Schizosaccharomyces pombe: one gene and its partners. Changing the gene in region 3 together with the main gene of any one other region gives a genetic interaction. Each region holds a gene or a part of one and is shown on either strand. Other genes may lie near its edges.

The links.
Region 1: mutations in cid12 (region 3) and mph1 together harm fitness more than expected from each alone (negative genetic interaction), as found in Schizosaccharomyces pombe (2 studies listed by BioGRID).
Region 2: mutations in cid12 (region 3) and nda3 are lethal when combined (synthetic lethality), as found in Schizosaccharomyces pombe (2 studies listed by BioGRID, with this or other methods).
Region 4: mutations in cid12 (region 3) and ers1 together harm fitness less than expected from each alone (positive genetic interaction), as found in Schizosaccharomyces pombe (2 studies listed by BioGRID).

Annotation. Positions count from the first base shown.
Region 1 is NC_003423.3:371,777-376,821, reverse strand, and holds mph1 (dual-specificity protein kinase Mph1), read right to left. Parts: upstream 3,029-5,045; 5' UTR 2,934-3,028; coding exon 897-2,933; 3' UTR 530-896; downstream 1-529. Other genes in the region: srx1 (sulfiredoxin), read left to right, coding at 1-360; F-box protein Pof13, read right to left, coding at 3,273-4,463. UniProt on the Schizosaccharomyces pombe protein: Involved in mitotic spindle assembly checkpoint signaling, a process that delays anaphase until chromosomes are bioriented on the spindle, and in the repair of incorrect mitotic kinetochore-spindle microtubule attachments.
Region 2 is NC_003423.3:3,963,558-3,967,646, forward strand, and holds nda3 (tubulin beta Nda3), read right to left. Parts: upstream 2,417-4,089; 5' UTR 2,368-2,416; coding exon 2,356-2,367; intron 2,320-2,355; coding exon 2,270-2,319; intron 2,219-2,269; coding exon 2,177-2,218; intron 2,136-2,176; coding exon 2,081-2,135; intron 1,992-2,080; coding exon 1,106-1,991; intron 1,021-1,105; coding exon 719-1,020; 3' UTR 535-718; downstream 1-534. Other genes in the region: protein Sdh8, read right to left, coding at 1-58; GTPase Grn1, read right to left, coding at 3,143-4,089. UniProt on the Schizosaccharomyces pombe protein: Tubulin is the major constituent of microtubules, a cylinder consisting of laterally associated linear protofilaments composed of alpha- and beta-tubulin heterodimers.
Region 3 is NC_003421.2:1,653,667-1,660,617, reverse strand, and holds cid12 (poly(A) polymerase Cid12), read right to left. Parts: upstream 4,973-6,951; 5' UTR 4,950-4,972; coding exon 3,939-4,949; 3' UTR 3,537-3,938; coding exon of another isoform or gene 3,102-3,536; 3' UTR 2,988-3,101; coding exon of another isoform or gene 2,073-2,987; 3' UTR 1,984-2,072; coding exon of another isoform or gene 835-1,983; 3' UTR 538-834; downstream 1-537. Other genes in the region: SPOM_SPCC663.15C (uncharacterized protein), read left to right, coding at 1-336; trp663 (TRP-like ion channel protein), read left to right, coding at 835-1,983, 2,073-2,987; NatA N-acetyltransferase subunit Naa50, read left to right, coding at 3,102-3,536; splicing-associated factor Saf1, read right to left, coding at 5,906-6,742. UniProt on the Schizosaccharomyces pombe protein: Has a role in the RNA interference (RNAi) pathway which is important for heterochromatin formation and accurate chromosome segregation.
Region 4 is NC_003421.2:799,174-805,051, reverse strand, and holds ers1 (RNA-silencing factor Ers1), read right to left. Parts: upstream 3,895-5,878; 5' UTR 3,856-3,894; coding exon 3,825-3,855; exon of another isoform or gene 3,789-3,824; coding exon 3,713-3,788; exon of another isoform or gene 3,674-3,712; coding exon 3,625-3,673; exon of another isoform or gene 3,586-3,624; coding exon 3,536-3,585; exon of another isoform or gene 3,513-3,535; intron 3,481-3,512; coding exon 3,066-3,480; intron 3,021-3,065; coding exon 1,741-3,020; intron 1,692-1,740; exon of another isoform or gene 1,691-1,691; coding exon 1,643-1,690; exon of another isoform or gene 1,606-1,642; coding exon 1,495-1,605; exon of another isoform or gene 1,453-1,494; coding exon 1,171-1,452; intron 1,121-1,170; coding exon 1,034-1,120; intron 993-1,033; coding exon 551-992; 3' UTR 509-550; downstream 1-508. Other genes in the region: rRNA processing protein Ipi1, read left to right, coding at 1-425; protein Fta4, read right to left, coding at 4,434-4,993, 5,068-5,209. UniProt on the Schizosaccharomyces pombe protein: Involved in RNAi-dependent heterochromatin formation and centromeric silencing.

The DNA of each region.
Region 1 (5,045 bases), on a different chromosome or scaffold from region 3:
ACTGGCTCAAATAACAACATTGTTGAGCTTGATATGTCTGAGTTAATTCGTCCTATACCTCCTGTTTTAGATATGAACAAAGTCAATAGTATGATGGAAACCATGACAGGGAAAACTCCTCCAGCTTCATGCGGTTTGACTTCAGAAGATTTGGAAGCTGGTGAGCTTCCTCCTGTTGATGTTTTAACGTTTAAAAAGAGTGGGAAGCCTTATTATTTTGCCTTTGGGGGCTGTCATCGACTACGTGCTCACGATGAAGCAGGGCGCAAAAAGGTTCGCTGCAAATTGGTAAATTGCTCCCCTAACACTCTACGCCTGTATCTGGGTGCTTCTGCCAATAAATTTTTGGATAGTGATTAGATTTAACTTAGATTTTTTCACAAGTTTTTTTAGGATTATCGATATTCCATTGAACCTGTTTTATTCCCTTCCTGCACCAACATTTATGGCGTTAATAATCATCTCTACCGGCGGTACATTATTTTTAAAGGTTTTTGTTTTACATTAGTTATGGGGTTTTTTTTTAATGTCTAATATAACCCAATTATATTAAAAAAGTTTCTTATAAAAAAGCATCATTCATTTGGTTGCTTTACCTAAAAAAAACAAACACAAAAAGGTATTATATCGTAAACAAACAACTTATAGCGTTTGGGAGTATAGCGTTCTTTATATTTACATAGTATCAAAGTATAGATATCAGGGGCCATATAATATGTGGTTCATTAATCAAGGTCATAATTACCTTCTTTTAAAAGAGCGAAAAATTAAAGATTAAAAAAAAAAAGCCTTTAAGCTCCCTAAAAAAGTCGTTAACATTAAGAAACTCGTATGATGTTTGGGAAACTTTGTAAAAGATAAAACCTTTTTAAGAATAATCGGAAAATTTAGTGCCTCTATTCTGGCATTTTTCGTAAATTGCTAACGCAATCATAAGCCATGCTATCAATAAGTTCCTTATTTAATCGCTTGTGCTTACTCAACTCCACCGACCTTTCTATAATCATTGATAATTGAGAAGCTGAGATTTCTGTGCTGAGTCTAAGTGGATGAGCATTATTGGTGTGCCCAGAAACAGGTAACGGCTTTTTGGCCAAAGGTGTCAAATAGGATGGCAAAGGGTTTAAAAAGGGATGAACCAGCAATTCCGGTATTGTAAGTCTCTTCCGTTGATCCCTTTCCAGGCATCTTTTCATAACATCCATTAGATCAGGCCCGACAGTTACACCTGGCAACGATCCCTCTTTCTCCTGGACAGCATTAGCAGGTAAGGCAACTTCGGGGAAATGAATGTGATATTGTTCATTAGGGATAGCTGCTATAGCTTGGATCATTTTTAGATGAGCAAACGGGGCCCTCCCATACACCATCTGATATAATATACATCCCAAACTCCACACGTCGCTGGGCCTGCCCAACTTTACGAGTTTCACGCCAGAGTTTGTGTGAGCATTCATGTCTGTCAAAGCTTCAGGTGCCATATAATTAATAGTACCGATGTGGGAATCACGATGGATATTAGTGGTGTCATTACCAATTGCTTTGGCAATGCCAAAATCAATCAGCTTCAAATTCCCTTCTACAAGCAGGAAATTGGCCGGCTTCAAATCCGAATGCACTATATTTTGATCATGAACTACCTGGACCGCCTCTAGCATTTGCTCCCAATACATTCTGATGAAATTAAGATTAATGGGTTTCTTCATGTTTTTCATTAAAAGGTTTGCTAAATCCGTTTCTCCGCATTCCATCACCATATTGAGTTGCCCTAAAGTATCATTAACTTCGGCAGCATATAATTTAATTATGCGATCATTGCCTGAAAGCTTTCTTAATAATGCAATTTCGTTCTTGTATCCTTGTATAGTAGTTTGGTCTGCATTAATAAAGTTCACCTCTTTCAAAGCGTATAAACGACTGTTATCGGGGGAAAATATGCGATATACCATACTACTTCCACCCTTTCCAACAACTCCTAATTTGATAAATTGTAGATTGGCAACAGTAACAACGTCCTGCTGACGCTTGGGTATGGGAGTAGCTTGACTGTTATCAAATAACGGAGCCACCTTTGGAGAAAGAGCATGAGATTCATATGGTTGAGAAGCAGAACGCTGAGGCTCTTGGAAAACGGTGACTGGACGAGAATGAAGTTCACTAGCTCTTCTTTCAACATCGTGATCAAACTGCACCCTAGGAGAAAAAGAGCTCTCAAACTGAGAAGGATGAAAAGAAGGTTTGGGATGCTCCTGGGATGTTTGCAAAGGAGTGTTATGCAGCTGCAGAGGTTTTAAAGTTGTTGCAGCAACAGAGTTGGAAGCTGGTGATACTTCTCGAGATTTCATTTCAATATCCTCATCTGCTTCTGTAGAGTTTTTGGTATCGGAAGTCTTCGAGGGATCCGTCAACGTGTACTCAGCACGCTTTGGAGGGCCTAATCCAATTCTGCCGATTCTTCGTCGTCTTGAAATTGATAAAGAACCGGGGGTTTTGTTTACACTTTTAGGTAACAAATCATGCTCCGAATTAGAATTGAGATCATTCACTCCTGCACTGAGTGAAACTTCACTGTGAGACGCATTAGTAGAGGGCAAGGGTGTTATTAAATGCTCGAAATGGTGCATTGACTGATATGCTGGAGTATTCACTTCCTTCAAAGCAGAATTTTGTCCTCCATTTCCTTGCAAATCAAAATTTTTAGTACGAGGATGTGAGACCAATCTCTCTAAAGCAGTTGCACCGCTTGACTGCCTACGCAACGTATCCCCAGTAACGGTGCCATCAGAATGGCTACTCTTGGAAGAGAAAGTGTCATTTTTGAAGTATAATTCTGGATCCTGAAGCTCTTCGAGAAAAGAAAGCGAGTCTTCATCTAAGGAAGAATCTGACACCAAGTCCGCGATATTAGTCACAGGAGGATTGCGCTTAGACATAAACACAGTTACTAAAAAACGAGCATTCCAAACCGAATTTCCAACTGTTTGTTAAGCGTTAATCAATAAATTTTTACTTCGTTATAAGAATAGCTAGAAAAGACGAACAGCAGAGCAACCATTAGTGTGCACATTTCAAAATGTTATGTTACTACAAAGATCACCCTCTAACGCAATGCTAGCTACTTCAGTGTATATCATTATTTTACGAGTTTCGCATGGTTATGAAAACGAAAATTCTGAGTAAGAATGGCATAAGATCATTATTAGACTAGTCATGAAAGAAAAAGAAGAGTTGTGAAAGTAAAAAGTTTTTTCACCTAGGTCGCCTTGCCCTTACTATATCTGTGATTGAGGCCATTTCCATCCAGCCGCTAACAGCTTCCTGCGAATCTTTTTGTGGTGAATATGGTTCTGCTCTTGGAATTGGAACAAAAGACTTCTAGGACTGATCTGATGCCATTGGGCGGCCTTGATCTTATGGAAACAAGAGTCTTCTCTTTCAGGATAAACAACACCTAAAGTAGATATTACACGGTGTTGACGAGCAAATGCTTGTATTTGCAAATCAAAATCCAACGATATGCAGGAAGGACAGACAAATGAATCGCAAACCAAACAACTTCTTAAATCTATGCAATAACGACAAATCGGCTTCTTCCATTCCCTTAAGCAATAGATACAAGCAGGGACTTTTTGCAAAGAAAAAAGATCGGCAAGCTCAGTTTCCTGACCTGCAATTTTGCATGCATTCAAAGGGCAACGTGAAATATCGCATTCGACTGGGTTACCATGAGTAGTTGGTAAAGCGTCTAAAGCATTTTGAAATAAAATTACTCGACTATGCCAATTGCTTGTTAATGTGTCATCCTCAGAGCCATCAAGCAAAACAGGTTTTAGTAATTCTAATCCTTTAACACCAAGGACGTATAGATTTTCCAATGAAAATGTCCTGCTTTTAGAATTTTGTAGAAACTCAATGAGAGATAGAGAGCAAACACCAACACACCATCTTATACTCAAGGTTTTAACGGTAGGAATGTTCAGCAAGATATTCGTTACACTAGAAATGGTAACACCTGTTCCGTCTAAAGCAATGGTCTGAAGTCCCTGGAATTTGGCAAGCATTGACCAGACAAATGAATCGCGAAGTTGGAGTTTTAAAATTGGTGGGTTTCCGTAGAGATCAACTTCAGTAGCCCATTCTAAATCACTGGCAACAGGAACTGTACGTTGATAAGGTTGTAAATTAAGAAAATTGTTATTAAAACAGCATTCATCGACAGCTGATTTACGAAGCCAATAGTAAAACTGCCTACTTGAATGCATCAGGCGTAATATATCGAATGCATCAAGATAATTAATGATCAAGGACCATATGTCTCTGTTCAAGAGAAATAAATTGGAATTTTTTAACACAGGTTGAATTGGATCTTCCTCATGATTCCGGTTTGACAAAGAAAGGGTTGTGAGAGCTTCAGCTGTAAAATCCACTTCGCACTGATTACTCGACCAATGTGTCGGCCTCATAAAGTCCCGAAATACTTTATAAATTGTTATTTACACAATTTCTTTTAAGATAATGCAATTTTCGTAGCTTGTTTGCGATTCAGCAACTCTTTTGCTAACGATTTTTTCAAAAGAGAACAATTTATGCCGAGGAATGTTAAGAAACGTAAAGAATGTGTTTTTTTAGATTCAAAGATTCCGTTTTCTTGGTTGGAGATAATCTTATTCGGGAAAAATCAATAATGAACCTCGTGATAATTATAATTGACAAATACTTTTTGTTTTCAAGTGTTGACGTTAATGAGCTCCTGTTGATATATATAAAACAAGAAATTCTCTAATATAGTCCCAAAAAAAATCCCAAAATCATAGAATTGGGGAAGTGGTTTATTTTTTCAACGAAATGGAGTAGGTTAGGGTGTTTTAGGAAAAGAGGATTGCTAACAACATCTTCATTCTCTAGAATTATTCCCAAACTCAACTGTTATATTGATTAAAATAAATTCTTTTAAAGACAAGAATGCGTTTTGCTTTGACTTGCTGATTGCTGTAGCTATTCACACTTAAAGGCGCATTGGGTTTCTTGACATTGGAGAGCTTCTG
Region 2 (4,089 bases), on a different chromosome or scaffold from region 3:
TTGTTAAAGCTTTATTGTAATTTTTAAGAATGACAGCACGTAAATTACGATTAAACATTGTTTTGGTGCGATTGCAATGTAGTAAATAAAGTTCCTAATATACTTTTATATGAGTAAATTTCAATTTCGGCTTTTCGAAGCCACTCAATATTTCTCGTCGTTGACAAAGGCGAATTTAGAAAGTGGCGGATTGTTATACTGGTGGACGTTTATAAGTACTGGTATATCAAACGAGTTTACTTTCACAAAACGCAACATAAATACGATACGTAGCAGTAGGTGATAATTTAACTAAATTAATAGTTTATTGAATTTACAAATCTCACTGCATCTTTTGGTTCTACTTTTGGGAATTGACACTTAAGTATTAGACTTGCTTTATACATTTACTTTGTAATAGTCAAATATCTAAGCATATATTAGGGAATAGTAAATAGCTTTAATTCGTACGGTTTGGACTTACAAAAGTACTTTACAGACTTACTCGTGTTTATAGTACATTTCCACCTTGGTAGCCAGGCTAAAGCTATATTTAGAGTGTAAGGAGCATTTCAAAGCTATGAAAAAAAGTAAAGAGCGTTTAGCACAGACGATGCTTGGAATCCATATGCATCGGAGTAAAATAAAGCATTTCAATGAATGTAGGAAAAAAGGAACGTAGATAAACACTATTTGAAAATATATGGCACACTTGGATTATAAAAAGGGTTATAAGGGTTTAATACTCGAGAGGCTCCTTCTCTTCTTCAATTTCATAATCTTCATCACCCTCATCGATACCAGCCTCCTGGTATTGTTGATATTCGCTAACCAAGTCATTCATATTAGATTCAGCCTCAGTAAACTCCATTTCGTCCATGCCTTCACCAGTATACCAATGCAAAAAGGCTTTTCTTCTAAACATTGCAGAAAACTGATCACCCAAACGACGGAAAATTTCTTGGATAGAAGTACTGTTACCAATAAAAGTTGCAGACATCTTGAGATCCTTAGGAGGAACGGAACAAACAGCTTTGAGGACTATTTCGAGGTTAGCAGATGAGCATAAACAAGTAGAAAAAATAAACTAAATATACAAACGACGTTTTAAACCAAGTAAACATACCATTATCGGGAATCCACTCAACGAAATATGCTGAATTCTTAGTTTGAACAGAGCGAATTTGCTCGTCGACTTCTTTCATTGAGACTTTACCACGGAAAAGAGCGGCAACTGTTAAGTAACGGCCATGGCGAGGATCAGCGGCGACCATCATATTATTAGCATCAAACATTTGTTGAGTAAGCTCGGGCACAGAAACAGCTTGAAATGAGCTTGAACCGATGGCGGCAAGAGGAGCAAATCCTACCATGAAAAAGTGTAAACGAGGGAAGGGAACCATATTAACAGCTAATTTACGCAAGTCAGAGTTCAATTCACCAGGGAATCGGAAAGATGTGGTTACACCAGCCATTACAGCAGAGACAAGATGGTTCAAGTCATCGTATGAAGGACTCTTGATTTTCAACGTGTTAGCGAAAATTGAAGAAAGAGCCTCATTATCAATGCAAAATGTTTCGTCAGAGTTCTCTACCAATTGATGCATAGAAAGAGTAGCATTGTAAGGTTCCACAACGGTATCAGAGCTTTTAGGAGCAGGAGCAACGGAGAAGGTAGCCATCATACGGTCCGGATATTCCTCGCGAATCTTCGAAAGTAAAAGAGTACCCATACCAGATCCAGTACCACCACCCAAAGAGTGAGTTAATTGGAAACCTTGTAAAGCATCACATGCTTCAGCTTCACGGCGAACAACGTCCAAAACAGCATCGGCCAATTCAGCACCTTCAGTGTAATGGCCTTTAGCCCAAATATTTCCGGCACCAGATTGTCCATAAATAATATTGTCCGGGCGGAAAAGATTTCCAAACTTTCCTGACTTCACGGCATCCATAGTACCGGGCTCTAAATCAACAAGGACTGCGCGGGGAACATACTTTCCACCAGCGGCCTACAGTCGTCAGTACTAAATAAACAAAAAAAAATTTTTTCAAAAAGTTTTAAGCAACCGAACACTTGTAAGAAAGCAAAAAAACCTACCTCGTTAAAATAAACGTTCAATCGCTCGTGTTGTGCCTCAGAAGTTCCATGATATCTACGTAAAAGTCAGTAAAAAAACAAGCAAAATAGACCTACATTCCAGCTGAATCCAAACCATGCTCATCAGCAATGGTAGACCTTCCAAGCGTTAGTTGAGAGAAACGTTATAACAAAGTAGATTTTGCTTACCAAAAGGCCGCACCGACTTGGTTTCCGCATTGACCAGCTTGAATATGAACCTATTGATTAGCTTTGAATATTAAAATAGCTCGTACAATCTCACGCATCTAGACTAATTTATGGTGGTTTGTTTTGATGATCAGTTTGGTGGTAGGTGAGTTTCGTTAGGAGGAACGGATTGAGAATACCAAAAGTACCAAATCGTTTTTATACGTTTCAGAAATTCTAAAAACACAGTTTATTGCAGTTATTTACTAGTAGGCTTTTAAAAAAAATTTTTGTGTATTTATTAGCCGATTGTTAATTGAAAAGAATCAAGTCTTAAATCATTGCTTATTAAATAGTTTACTTCTTTTATATACAAGCTTTTTTTCTTTTCTTTGGTAATGTATGTAACTTTATTTATTCTTTAGTTTATATACATAATTATTAACTGCTAAACAGATTAATTTGATATTATGCCATATTCAGTAGTAGCGCAAAATAGTATGGTTAGAATTGTTTGTGTTTATCCTATCAATTGATATAAAAATGAAATGAAACTTATAACTGCACGTTAGTATCAATGTCATTTTCCGTACATATTCAATTGACTTTATTTAAGCCAGCATGCATTGATTTAATAATTTCCCGTATTAGCGAACCTATTACTTAAAACTTCTCCCATATCAAACATTACTTTTACAAGTAAATGTAAAACAACACATTCAAGAATACGGCATATATGCAAAAAAAATTATTTATATATTAATTCAAAAAGTAATAGCTAGTAACCATCAACACCTAAAGATTTTTAAAACCCGAAGAAAAACCGCAACCGAAAACCAAATCCCAAAATATAAGCTCTAAGCAACAATAGCTTTTTTCGTAAGTTGAAAACTCTCAAAAATCATTAAGGTCAAATTCTTTGGCCCACTCAGTAACGATTTGAGTATCCTGAACTTCAGATGAGTTCTTTTCGTTTATAACCTCAGGCTCGGCCCACCATTCGATACGACCAGCATGCCAGTCATTAATGACAATATTGGCAGCAGCGTTAAGATTTGGAATTCCACCGCGACCTAGACGACCACGCTTACGAGCAATATTGACTAAAAAATCAGTAGCAGTGTCTATATCGGATGTATTCAATAGAGGAGGAAGCTCATATCTTTGAAACATTCTTTCCAATTGTCCTGGAACTCTGCTAAGGAATTGCAAAATGTAAGAAGCAACGGCAACGGGATCATCAACTTTGGTGGATGAAACAGCATTAAGCATTACAAGACGATACAAATCGTCTTTAGAATCACTAGAAGGAAAAACAATACCAGGACTATCGACCAAACGTAATTTGTTATCTAGCTTCACCTCTCGCAAAGAAGTAGTCATTCCGGCAACGTTTCCGGCAGGACAAGGTGCAGAACGACCATTCGCAGAACGGTTGACAAGAGCGTTAATAACAGATGATTTACCAACGTTGGGGTATCCAATTACACCGACTGTAAGAGAGCTTTTAAGCTTCTTCTTGGCTGAGTAAGACTTGAGTGATTTAAGAAGATTGGAGATAGTGGAACTAGCAGAAGCCGACTGGTGCTTTAAATTTGAGTTTCCAGATCCTGAAGCGGAACGCATAGGAATCGTAGGAAAGAAATTGCGGAGATAGGTAACCCACTTGTTGAGTACTTCTGATGGTACTAAGTCAATTTTGTTGATAACGAAAATAAGACGCTTTTCTTCAGCAGAAGATGCTAAAACTTGACGTTCAACGTCTTTTGAACGAGTCCCTTCAGGATCACGAGCGTCAAGAACGTAAAGAATCACATCTGACGCTTCAACAACTTTTTTGA
Region 3 (6,951 bases):
GCTTTAAATACCTTGGATGAAGAGACAAAACATCAAGTTTTGGAAGAAATTGGTGATTATGTGAAGGAACTTGATGAAGAAAGCAAGAAGGCTATTGAGAATAAAGATAGTACTAGTGAATGGCTTTTACATCTTTATAACTTCTTTGGGTCCGCAATTATTACACCCACTACAGCTCATGGAGTACCGCAGCCACAACTTCCAAATTGTGGAATGAAATTAAATAGAACTAAAGAGAAGCTGCTGACTCCTTTTCGAAATCTTTTAATGGAGCAACTCAACGAATTACAAGCGAAAAATCAAGAAACGCCTTCAGAAATGACTTCAACAGAATAATTTTATTACTAATTGAGGTCCAAAACATAATGACATAAAATCAAGTGAGGCTCGCACATTCCATCATTTCTTCTCACAACTACAAATGAAATGAAAATGCATTTCTTTTTTTTATTCTTTACTAATGATACATTCTTTACCATTATATTGCTTTTTTCATAGTGTAAAATTGTGAGCGTAAGAACAATGCTAAGATGGTGGTAACTAAATAAACGAAGCCACGTTCTGTATTCTTTTTCGTAAAAATCTTAAAGCTTCAATCGTTTCATTACTATTTATTTAATCCTTGTATTTAACTCAATGCTATGGTTGTTAAAAAATACGACTGCTATTTCGTAAACATTACAGTCAAATTACGGCATTTGAGTTCAGTAGCATGTTTTTGTTATTCGTGATAGTTTGGTAATTCTGAGGAAAGTTCATTTTAATTTTTTTTGCATTCGTTCCAAAGTTAAACCCTCTACATAACTGGAAGGGGGATGTTAATGGAAAATGAAAATGAAGCTAATACTCTTAGCTTACTTTGCAGTTTTAAGTAATATCTTATCGTCAGTGGAAGGTCGAGTAAGATATAGTAAGAGACCAAATCACAAACTTGGAACAGCCGAGTACGCAGAATGCATGTCAAATGCCCCGATAGTGTTTAATCGGTTTGATGCAAGTTATTATACACGAAACTTGTCAGTAGTCTTTAATATTCTTGGATATTCATCTGTGGACGCAAATGTTACGTTTGATATTATAGTTGAAGCTTATGGAGAGCAGAGGGCAAGATTTACTTTCGACCCTTGTGAAATAAATCTTAATACTGTGTGCCCAGTTGCAAGAGATACAGCTATAACCACACAGGGAATACTTCCAGTGAGCCCTCAAGATGTTCAGATGATCCCAAAAATTGCCTGGGGAATTCCTGATTTTGAAGGCTTAGTGCGTTTTCGCATGTATCGCTCAGAAGACATCGCAGCGTCATCCATCGATAATTCTACACCACTTGCGTGCATGATCGCGACACTTAATAATGGTCATACGTTTAAAAATAAAGTCGTAAAAGCTCTAAGTGGAACTGCTTTGGCATTGAGTATAGCAGGCGTCTTAGGCTTTTATGTAATTGGAATGGAGCATAGCACCTATCTGACACGTCAGGTTTTCATCAATTCCGTTCCTTCTTTGCAGCACATGGGAGAGCTACTTCAATGTATAGCTTTCACGGGAGCAATTGGAATTACACAGCCAAAAGTGCTAGTCGCATGGGCTAGTAATTTTGCATGGATTCTAGGATTTATTACCAATAAAGAGATAGAAAACAGCCTTGAGTCTTTTAGAAAGCATTCCAATGGAAACCTAAGTTCTCCAAAGATAGGTGGAGTCCATCGAAGAGATGCTGTTGCAACAAACCCTCAAAGCCCGATTCCTGGATTTTACCATGGGTTTCAAGGCCTAGCCACCGAAGTTGGAACGCTAACAACGAATTTATTTACACTCACTTTAATATGGTTTTTGATTTCTTTGGCCATAGCAGGAGGAATCGTTATAATATTCGTACTTATTATTAAGTTTCTTCGTCAGACACGTATAATCGCAAAATCTTCATGCGATTATATCACAAGGTATTGGTTTAGAGTACTTTTTAATGCTTGTATGAGATGGGTAAGTTAATTGAACAAAGGAATGAGTTGTTCATACATAGCTCTTAACGACTTTTTTGCTTTATACTTATACTAATCTGGTTGATATAGGTGTTGGTTTGTTGGCCTGTATTGGTAACTATGATAATTTACCAGTTTACACTTAGGGAAGCATATGGCCCTGTAATATTGGCGGCTTTGCTTCTGGCACTGCTTTTTGGGCTTTTCCTTTGGTTAACTATCAAAGTCATAAGAGTGATAACAACGTCAGGCTTGAGTAACGAGGACAATCCAGAAACATTGATAAGCGATCCAAAAATATACACATGGTGGGGATGGTTATATTTGGATTTAAAAGAACGGCGATGGCTCTATGTTTACGCCTGCTTTGCACATTATTTTAGTTTTGCATTGGTTTTAGCGTTAGTACAACAGTTTGCGAAGATTCAAACTATACTTCTATTTGTTATTGAAATCATCTCTTTTATATTGCTAGCAGTGTTTCGGCCTTTTGTTGGTTTCAAAAATTCCTTTTGCGTCTTTTTGGTTGCTCTCACCCGAGTGGTTTCCTTTGCTCTTCTCATACCGATAGCATTTGATTTAGCAATCATTCCGAAAGTGATCATTGCAATCATTCTTATCATTATACAAGGGCTGGTATTTTCATTTATGGCCCTGTGGAGCCTTTGGAACTTCATTACTATGCTAGGTACAGCATGGCCAGCCATTAGCTACACAGTCCCTTGGCTTAGAAGATTAATAGATGAATATCAAAGACAACTTCATATTGACTTTGAGAATCCTGCGGTTTCTGCAAGTGAAAAGCTATCCACCGAAGAGATTATCCCACAAGAATCAAATTTTGAAGAGCCCTCTACCACAAAGAAAGAAGGAAACGTAGACACAAAGGAAGATGGAAATGACGATGTCTTCAGCCTTGTTAACGCTTCTCCTATGCGACCAGCATCTACAATACCTTCACATTCATGTGACAACGGGATTAATGAAATGCAGCGTACTGTTTAAAGATTTTATCGTGGATGTTTCCAACTCAAACTATTGCATTAGAATGCCTTAAAGACTGAAAGTTGACAACACCAAGTACATATAGAAAAAGATATTTGCATTTGCATAAAAAAGATGATTGAACTTGATGCGATTAACCCTAATAATCTGAAAATCCTTGAAGTTATTAACGAAAAGTGTTTTGATCCTGAAATCATTATATTTCCAACCTCCTTTTACAAAGACACAATCTCAGTCGGGCCTTTAGCACAATATGCGTACTTTAACCAGGTCTGCGTAGGAGCTGTTAGATGCAAAAAAGAAACACATAATAAATCGCACAAAATCCAAATTTTATCTTTGGCAGTTTTGCCAGCCTATCGAAACCGTTCTATTGGTACCAAGCTGTTGGAATATGCTTGCGAGACTGCAGCTGAGGGAAAAGCCAAAGAAATTTACATTAAATTAAGCCCTAAACTCGATGTATCCGAATGGTTTATTCATCGGGGATTCATTATTGATGAGAGCTCCAAAACAGAAGATAGCGTCCTTCTTTCGAAAAAGCTATAGATTGCACACACATTTATTAATCTAAGTGAAATGCAATTATTAAATTGACTTGAAAATCTAACATGGATCCTTGGATAGATTTTAAAAGAATAAAATAGATTTAATTTTGAAATTTTTAAAGAACAGATTTTGTTAGCACCTTCAATAGGTACAAAATGTGATATCATTTGAAACAGCCGAACCTTGCCTAAGTAAAATTAAAAGACTTGAAAATGACTAAGATAATTGTAGGATTCTTATATCCTATCAATAATAAGAATATGAATCCATTCAATTAAACAAGAGTAAAGTACATACGAACTGTAGTGAAACATTACCACATGCGGCAAGACAACTTAGGAATTGAAAAACAAATGTTTATTTAAACAGCGAGCATTATTTTTTAAATGCATTAACCCGCAGTTATCCGCCAGCTTGTAATTCATCTGATTCCGTATCACTATCATATCCCTCCACCAAACTTCGTTTAGTATTTATAACATTTTCAAACTGTTTACACAAAAACATTTCATCTTCCGTAATTGCAAAGGTGCTAAACCATGTCTTATCGGATAATAATTCATTAGCTGAAGCAACAAATGCAGCTTTAATCATACTAATTTGAAATGATTGCTTTCCAATGTCGTTATTTCTGTCAATTGGATCTTCAATAGATAGCAAATTTGGTTGCACTTCGTTTAACCAGCCCTTTTGTAGCTTAGGAACTATTTGACCGGTTAAAGGTCTCAATACAAAAAGTTCGTATGTCCATTCGACTCCCCAAAAATAGAAGAATTTCTGTAGTAAAGCTCGAATTGGTTGCACTTCCGAATCAATTCCCTTTTTGTGAAATCGCATTTCAAGCCAACCAATTAGCATATAAGAGAGCGCGCAACTTGCAATCCCGCCATGATGAACGTTTTCCAAATCTCTTTCAAACAACCAGTGCTTCAATAGCATCAGCAATCTACCAAAAATTGGGTGTTCTTCGTTATAAGCTTTTTGCAATTCAGCAGTTCTGCAAGCTTTGTCATTTCCAAACGTCAAATCCACCCCAATTCCACTAACATCTACTAAATTGATGCGAGGGACTCTGGCACTAGAATGGAAATCAGCATCAGCATCCAAGTACTTTCTTAAAACCATGGTGACGCGTCGTTTCTCCAATTCTCCAACTCGAGGTGACTTCAAAGATACGTCTACATCACTTATAGATAATGTTGTTCCAATATACATGCTACCGTATACTTGAAGTTCAGCATCCAAAACGACCTCCCTAATGTGAGTCTGTAGTTTCTCTAACAAAAGCTTTCTGTACTTCAATTCCTCGATTTTCGGGCTTACGAACTCCAAAAATGAATAAAGTCGAGCATTATCACTCAAACCTTCTTCATTCCATGGTACTGAATGCAGCTCTAACAGGACTTTACCCATTCTTAAGAAATGGCATTTTGGCTAATTTTAATATCAATGGATTCAATTTCATGGCTCCTCGCACATAACGAGGTCGTGCGAGTGCCTTGTAATTATATGTAAATAAATCATTTTATAGCAAAAAAAAGTATCACGAGTTTTTAATCAATAAATAACTTATTTGTTTTTATAAATAATAGAATGATTGACTGCAAAAGCTTCCTAGTCTCATACAGCATTTATAGCGAAAACCAAAGATTATGAACCCAAGAAAAGCAAGCAAAAGATAGATAAGTACTCCCTCATCTCTCATTGTGCAAATTTTAACTTAAGCATGTGTATTTCGATTTTTAAAGGTTTCCTTTATGATATTTTTATTTGATAAACGAATTCGTTGGTTTACGCATGTAAATACTGTCATGGCGTCTAAATACATATGAAAATAAAATAAAATTAATCCAAGTAATTAGTCATGTACTTCTTTCTTTTTGGTAATCTGATTCGTAATGAACAGTGTAGGACTAAGTGTAACAATCATAATTTAGCAAAAGACAAATTCACAAAAAACAGTCAACTTGAAATAATCACGGAAAGATGAATATAAGGTGTTTTTTTGAAATCCCCTTTCGCTCAAGCAGTGTAAAAGTGACTATAATAAGGAATTATTGAACCAAGAAAACATTAATAAATATCATGCAATAACACAGAAACAAAATCTCCTTTGTTTTTTTTGGACATCAAAAATTTGAAATTATTGACCGCATCATAATAATAAGCCTTTGAATTAACTTATGAAAGCTCACTCATAATTGAATAAAACAAAAAAACAAGTACAGAGATGCAATCAAGCTCCTTTAAAATTGAACCTAGTAAACAGATATTATATATAAATTAATATGCATGTTTATTAACTAAAAATTCCGTCTACACCCATTTGGTAATCCTTACTTCCAATCTCCATAATTTTAACGACTTTTTTATAGATATCCGCCAATTTCTTTGTAGAAATTATCTATTTCTTCATCCTTGTCTTCCTGAACTTGGCTCGATACATCCCTGTCTGGCTGTCCAATTTTCTGCCCCTTGGCTAGTTTTTGTCGTTGAAACGCAGCAGGTAAAAATTGAGCAGCTTCTTGTCGTAAATCTCTGACTACCGGCTGAGCTGAGTACTCAATCATAGTTTCCTCTTCAATGTCCTTCGTATTTGCAGCAGCTTCTGTCGTAGTAGTGGATTTTGGTTGTGCTGAACTTGCATTTATGTCTTGCTTTTTGTGGTGCTTTGGCTTAAAGCTCTTATTTTTCTTTTCCCTTGGCTTTGGATCCTCAAAAGGATATTCTTCAGAAGGTAAAGGTATATCAATAACGGATTCATCTGTTTCTGAACTTAGTTCTTCCTTCTCACGATAAGGCATTCCTGGCGGCGGAACTCCGTAAGGATTAAATATTGGATCATAATATATACTTCGTTTTGGGTTTTTAGGGATAAAAGGCTTTCTAGGTTTATGTTGACGTTCTGCCTCCTTAGTCTTGTCTGACTCAACACGCCCAACTCTATGTCCATGAATGTTTTTCTTCTTCATAATTGCCATATCTCTTTGCAAATTTTGTAATAATTGCTTGTCATGTGCATTTAAAGCTTGCGAAGATTCTAATTGTGTCAGCTCTGATAATTGGCGTTCCATTTGGCTCATATTCCTATGCGACAGTCGTTCTTCATGGCGTTTTGCTCTTTCTTCTCGCACTTTAATTTGTTCTCTTTTTTTCTTCTTTCTGCTCTCCGCTTGAACGGGATTTAATCCCCGTTTTGACAGCATTCTGTAGAGTCAAGTATAGTATGGGTTTAGAATGGTGGTGATCAAAAACGTGACATGTATAAAATATTTAGGCAAATAGACAAAGAATAGTATTAAATTGGTTTGAGTAATCGACCGTTTACATTAAATTTAAATAAAGAATAATTAGTAATGTTGAAGTTGATGAGCTAAAAACTAAAGTTAATAGGCTGGTAATTAATTGTGTATAT
Region 4 (5,878 bases), 850 kb from region 3:
CTCCTTGTTCATTTGCATATTTGTCGCTATTCAATCCAAATAAACACGATCTTGTCGATAACCCTACTTTCCGTTGGCAGACAATATATCCTTTAATACCTGGAATTATAGAATTCATTAGAAACTCGTGGTCTGACGCTTGCCCAGTTGTTAAAGATGGATCCAACTCTCCGTCTGCTTCAAAAGTTTGTAGAACGGTTTTATCGATGCTTGGATTGTTTACTGAACAAGTTTTCAGTGTAGCTGATGAACCCAACAATCATAGGAAGAAAATATCTCAAGTTTTAAGAAAAATAAATAGGGACATAGAGTTGATAAATATCAATTATGGAACAGATTCCGAATGGAGAGGTGTATTGAAAGGATACGATAAATTGCGCGAGCGTGCAGTGGAATTGGATGCATTGGAGAACCCGGGTAAATGAAACTGACTCTATATGTTTCGTTTTAAATGGGTCCTCGCATTGTTTTAATTTAAGAATTTGGTTTGAGGGGTTATTTATGTTAAGTGGTATAAACAAAATTGATATTAACGCATAAATAAAATTAATTAAATAGTAGGGTGTATCCCCCCTAATTGATTCACCATAATAATTGCTGCAGTATACAAGTCTGAAACATTCTCAGTAATAGCCCCACCAATGAATTGTTTATTTGCAAGTTTCCACGGAGCCGTTTCTCCTGCGCGTATACTGTTATTATATTTGAACTGAGACTGCATGTACACACTTTGTATACTTAGACTGAAACAGGATTCTATAGGTTTGCTTTCCTTGGATCTGTCGAGACAAACGAAGGCTTCTTTGGAATTAATAGATGACGGGCTAATGTCATAGCTCTTAACTTTTGAACATTTTAATATAAATTCTAGAGAGTGAGGGAGTAAATTTTTGTTAAAAGGTACAGAGTTTTCATTAATTCTTGTGACCGAATGAATTATTACTCTGTCTTCCATATTTCCAAAGACTAACAGTAAATCCTTATTTACGTTTCTAGTCAACTGATTAGTCGAAGCTTTCAGAAATTGACATACCTAAATCTAATACTTTTGGAGAACTCTGTAAGTATCGCATCATTTAAAGGGACTTTCGTTTCGATACGTAGACGGGAATCCCATAAGCTATAAGTCATGATTAGTTGTTTTTTTCCTTAAAAACATTCATAACATACGCTAAAGGAAAATTGATAGTGCAAGTAGAAGATTGCTTAGAATCTTTATAAAACGCAAACTGATCTAACTTTGAAGAACAAATCATCGAAAAAAATACAGTGGAATCCTCTGTCTTGTTTCTCTTATCATCTGTAAATAATAAACTTCCCTTGAAAACAAAGTAATTCTTTGAATCTAATACTTCATGCTCTATTAAAGGATAAGTATACTCAGTACGTCCAAACAAAATTTTCACAGGAGTATTCAATAATGAATCGATATTCGAAACTGATTTGGTAATGCTTTATAAAAAGGTTAATATAACATATGAAGACTCAACCTACCAGTCTGCAAAATATGATCGGGGAAGATTCAAATCCTTATATATATTCATAAAACCATGTGAACAAGCCGACACATCTGATGAGATATTTGGATATAGTATGACGCCAAACCTGTTGGATTAATATTTATTCAAAAATAAACGCATACTCTAAATTCAATTCAATTTCACCTGAAAAGGATTGAAGTACATGCAAGCTAAACAAAGTGTTAGACTTATGTTTACATATTTAGTCAATACCACAGACCTTCTAGATAACCATCTGTGCAATGATTTCAAATTCATGTTGTCAATCTCTTCGTGATTAATGTATTTTTCAGAGCATACTATTTTTGGTTGAAATAAGTATAAGCTTCCCACACCGTAGCTTGATACCGGATTGGAAGACATTAGAATTGTATAATAGTTGTCACCAAGGTCGTCCATTTTCTCATCTTGTAAACGTAAAAACTTCATGTCAATTGAAGGAGTTAAGCTGCCAGATTTTGGAGTGGAACAATCTGATCCTTTGTCAAGCTCTAAACATTCTACACTTAATAGGTTTTTAGACTTTGAATCGTCGAAATCCAATTTTGCGCAATTTTGTCGCAAAGATTTATGAACATCATTAGCGTTAACTTCATTAAATTCATTTGAATTGACCAATTGAAAAGTCTGAGACTGTTTAGTTATTGCTTCGTCAACAGTATTACCATCCGAAGAAACAGAATATCTAGTAACCAGCTCTTCTTCAGGTTCCAATGGTAAAGTATTGCTCGTAGGTCGAGGAGGAAGCTGAAATTTGAACCGAGGAGGCTGCTTGCTATTAGACTTATTAATTGAATGCTCAATTGCAGTTGTTTTATCTTGGAAATGGGTCAAAGATGAAGTTCCTAAAATTTGCTTATCAATCGTGGGTAATTTATTCAACTTGTTCATAATCATTTCTTCAAAATTTGACGGATTATTCTGGTTAACAACAGGATCAACTGCTCTCCTTCCTTGATGAATTGAATTATCAGATAATTCGGTTGACGAAGAATGAAAATTTGACGGCTTTTGTAAGACTGGGATCGACAAATTGGATGAAGTTTTATTTAACTCGTAAAATCTGTGCGCTGGTTTCGGAGAAGAGAAGTTTAAAGAAACACCTGCAAATATTTTACATCCTATCAGCTTTATATCATCAGAAAATATTTTAAAATTATCATTACAGGGAGGGGTTTTGGAAGGATTTTTAGCAAAAACTGGTACCAACTCATAAGAATCACCATCATGTTTATTTCTCAATAATCTCATAGTATAAAAAGATCCAAGGATATTGAAAACGCTTTTGAAAATAGATGTCGTATGCATAGCTGTGTATAAAATCTCGTTTTCAAATTTTAATTTTAGAAATTTCAGTTGGCAGGGTGCAATCTTTCCTGCATAAACAAGAGTTTCTTCAGGATATTCATAGACTTTCTGGGACACTAAATTCTCTATATGCTTCATTTTCTCCAACATAGCATTAATGTCCTGATCGTTATTGGCTAATACAACTATTTTCTAGTCAAAAGTTAGGATGGTAGAAGTATCTTCACAAATACATACATTATCTTTTAAAGAAGCCTTGTATTTTGTGTTGGTAGCATGCGCAAACTCCTTGAGCAAATCATTATTGTCGGGAAGGTAAAATAATCGCTTGAAACTCCCGTTGTAAACAGTAGGCGAATAAATGACCTGTTTAAAATTTCCTTCCCATTCAAAAGGAGTAATGATTTTAGGTTTTATCAAGCAAGGAATATAAAAATCGGAGGATGTCGGTTTCTTGCCCACTTTAGACTTAACAATGTCCTCATTTTCTTTTATTTTCACATCTTCAATACCGTATCCTAAGTCTAAGTACCTTTGAAAATTCAATAAAGTAGTAAAATCATAATGCAATTGCCCGAATGGATGAATATCTAGGCGTGGTTTCTTGTAAACAGTTGATTCGCGCTTCAACTTTTGAACTATTTCCTCAAAACTAGCATGTTAATTAATATTTAAAATAATATTTAGGATGAACGCATGGAACTTACAGACTAAACGCTTCTCTTTTGTGTTCCTCGTACACTATGACTTTGAATTGCTGAATTATTAGCGTCAATAGCTAGGATATATAAAATACCTGAGATGAAGAAGAGTAAGAAATTTTTACTTTTCCATTATATTCAGAACTATATCATCAGTAATAGTCCATTTGCGCAAAACCATACTTTATACAATTTGTGAAGGAGGATATAAATTCAGCATTTAAAAGCAACGCTGTATCGATATAAAATTTAAAAAATCCTAATATTAGCAAAAGAATGATACACATTGACTTACCAGATTGATTGTTTGCAGATACTTTACCCATCACTCATTTCATCGAGCTTACAGATGGTACATGCTATATGCAGCTTCAGAATATAAGTGAAGTAATATGAATTCATTAGGAATATAAAGCTTTATGAATTATCAGAAGAAAAGAAAAATAATTAAATCTATAGTTCCTTGTATGTAGGTATTATAATTGTGATAAAATTAATGTTAACGTACTTACAATCGAGAGCTGAGTATTTGAATTATAAGCTGTAATGATTCATTAAAGGTTAGAAACACTGTAAACTAAAAAATAAAACTAAGACAATTGTTAAGAAACGTATTTTGTTTAGCGGACACTCATTTGTAAATAAAAATGTGTTGTCTTATCAACTAACTTAATGCCTCCCAAAGCTAGGAAATCATTAACCAATAAATATCTGAACGTAAAGTAGAAGCTTCAAAGTTATTTCTATAGCCCCAACATTTCTAGTAGAGTCAATAAAATCCTTAAACCAGGAAATAAGGCACCCTCTCCTCCAATTAAGTATTAGTCATTATTTCAAAAGCAGATGATGAGATGCAATAGGAGTTCATGAACATCATTCCCTCTCAATTTCTACGAAAAGTTTTTTAATCATCAGAAATAGTTTTTTCGAATAATTGGCTTCTGATTTCGTCCTCCAATGACGCTTCCTGATTGTCATTGTTTAAAGAAGGAAATGAAACCCCTCTGAGAAGAGAATTAATTTTAGCTACCATGGTGTTCGTACTGTTGAGGGTTGATATCAATTCAGGGTTTTTCTTCCACATATTCGTATGTATTGAAGAAGGCCCATCTTCAAAAGGTTCCAACATTTTTTCGATTTGCTCAAGTTCAGAGCGCTCCTGTTCTAATTCTGACAACGTTGTTAATAGACCAAGTAACTCTCCCGTAAGACGATTGAACTTCTCTTGCTCCTCATCCTTTTCGACAGGTCGGGATTCTTTTTGAAAAGGCCATGGATGGGGAAGTGATTTTACACTGTCTAAATTGCTTAAATCAATTTCTCCATAAAATAATGGATTTAAAAAGGTAATGTCCTCAATAGCGCTATTTTGTTCATATAACTTTCGTATTTGAGCGGCAACATGCTGAGTTGCTTGATGTGAATAATTTAGCTTTGCATGCTTTTGGATACGAAGTTGCAATCCTGTTTTGGTTAATAATAATATTTTGAACTTTTTATTTGTAGGAGAAATCCAGACAAAAGCATGGAACACGTACGTTGGAATACAGTTTCAACGACTGATTCTGAAAGCTGACCGGATTTTAAAGGAAGTTTCCAATCCTTTGGAGGGCGCATAGGTCGGTTCAACAGCCGTATCTGTCGTTCCATGAATGATTTTTTATGTTCGTAAATATCCATTTAGGAAGTAAATTTGATTTAAATCAAGATTATCAGGATTAAAATAAAAACAGTTGAATACTGATCGAAAAACAAGTCAATATGGTATTGAAATTAACAAAGCAAGTTCACGCAAAGGCAACAAACTAACAGCGACTTTTGAGCATATAGACGTCTTCAGTGTAAGCACTTCCAAAATTAATTACTTAACAAAAAAAGACCAAATCAATCAGACCTTGGCTGATGGTTGATTAATGACAAATTTTGAGAAAGTTACAGGAGACTAAAGAAGTCGAAAAGTCGAGCGACTAAATAGAATACTTTGAATGATGTTAAAATGAAGATTTTATGTACATAATCATTAAGCTAGCTCCTTAGAAAGGACTCGTCTAATGCGAGTTAAAAAATTAGTGCATATATCAGTTCTAAGATATAGCGAAGAGAGTAATATTCTATGAAGGATGAACCCTAGAGTATAGTGTATTGTGAAGTTGACCTAGGATATACCATTAATATTGAATAGCATTAAACATATTTATTTATCCTTAAAACTAATAGCTTACAAAAAAATTCAGATTTACAAACAAGCACCCAGAATTGGTACATATACTCTACGGTGGTAAAACGTAAACGAAAGCTTGGTTTTTACAATGTAGTACCATTTAGGTTATTTCGAGCTAGTTGAGAAAC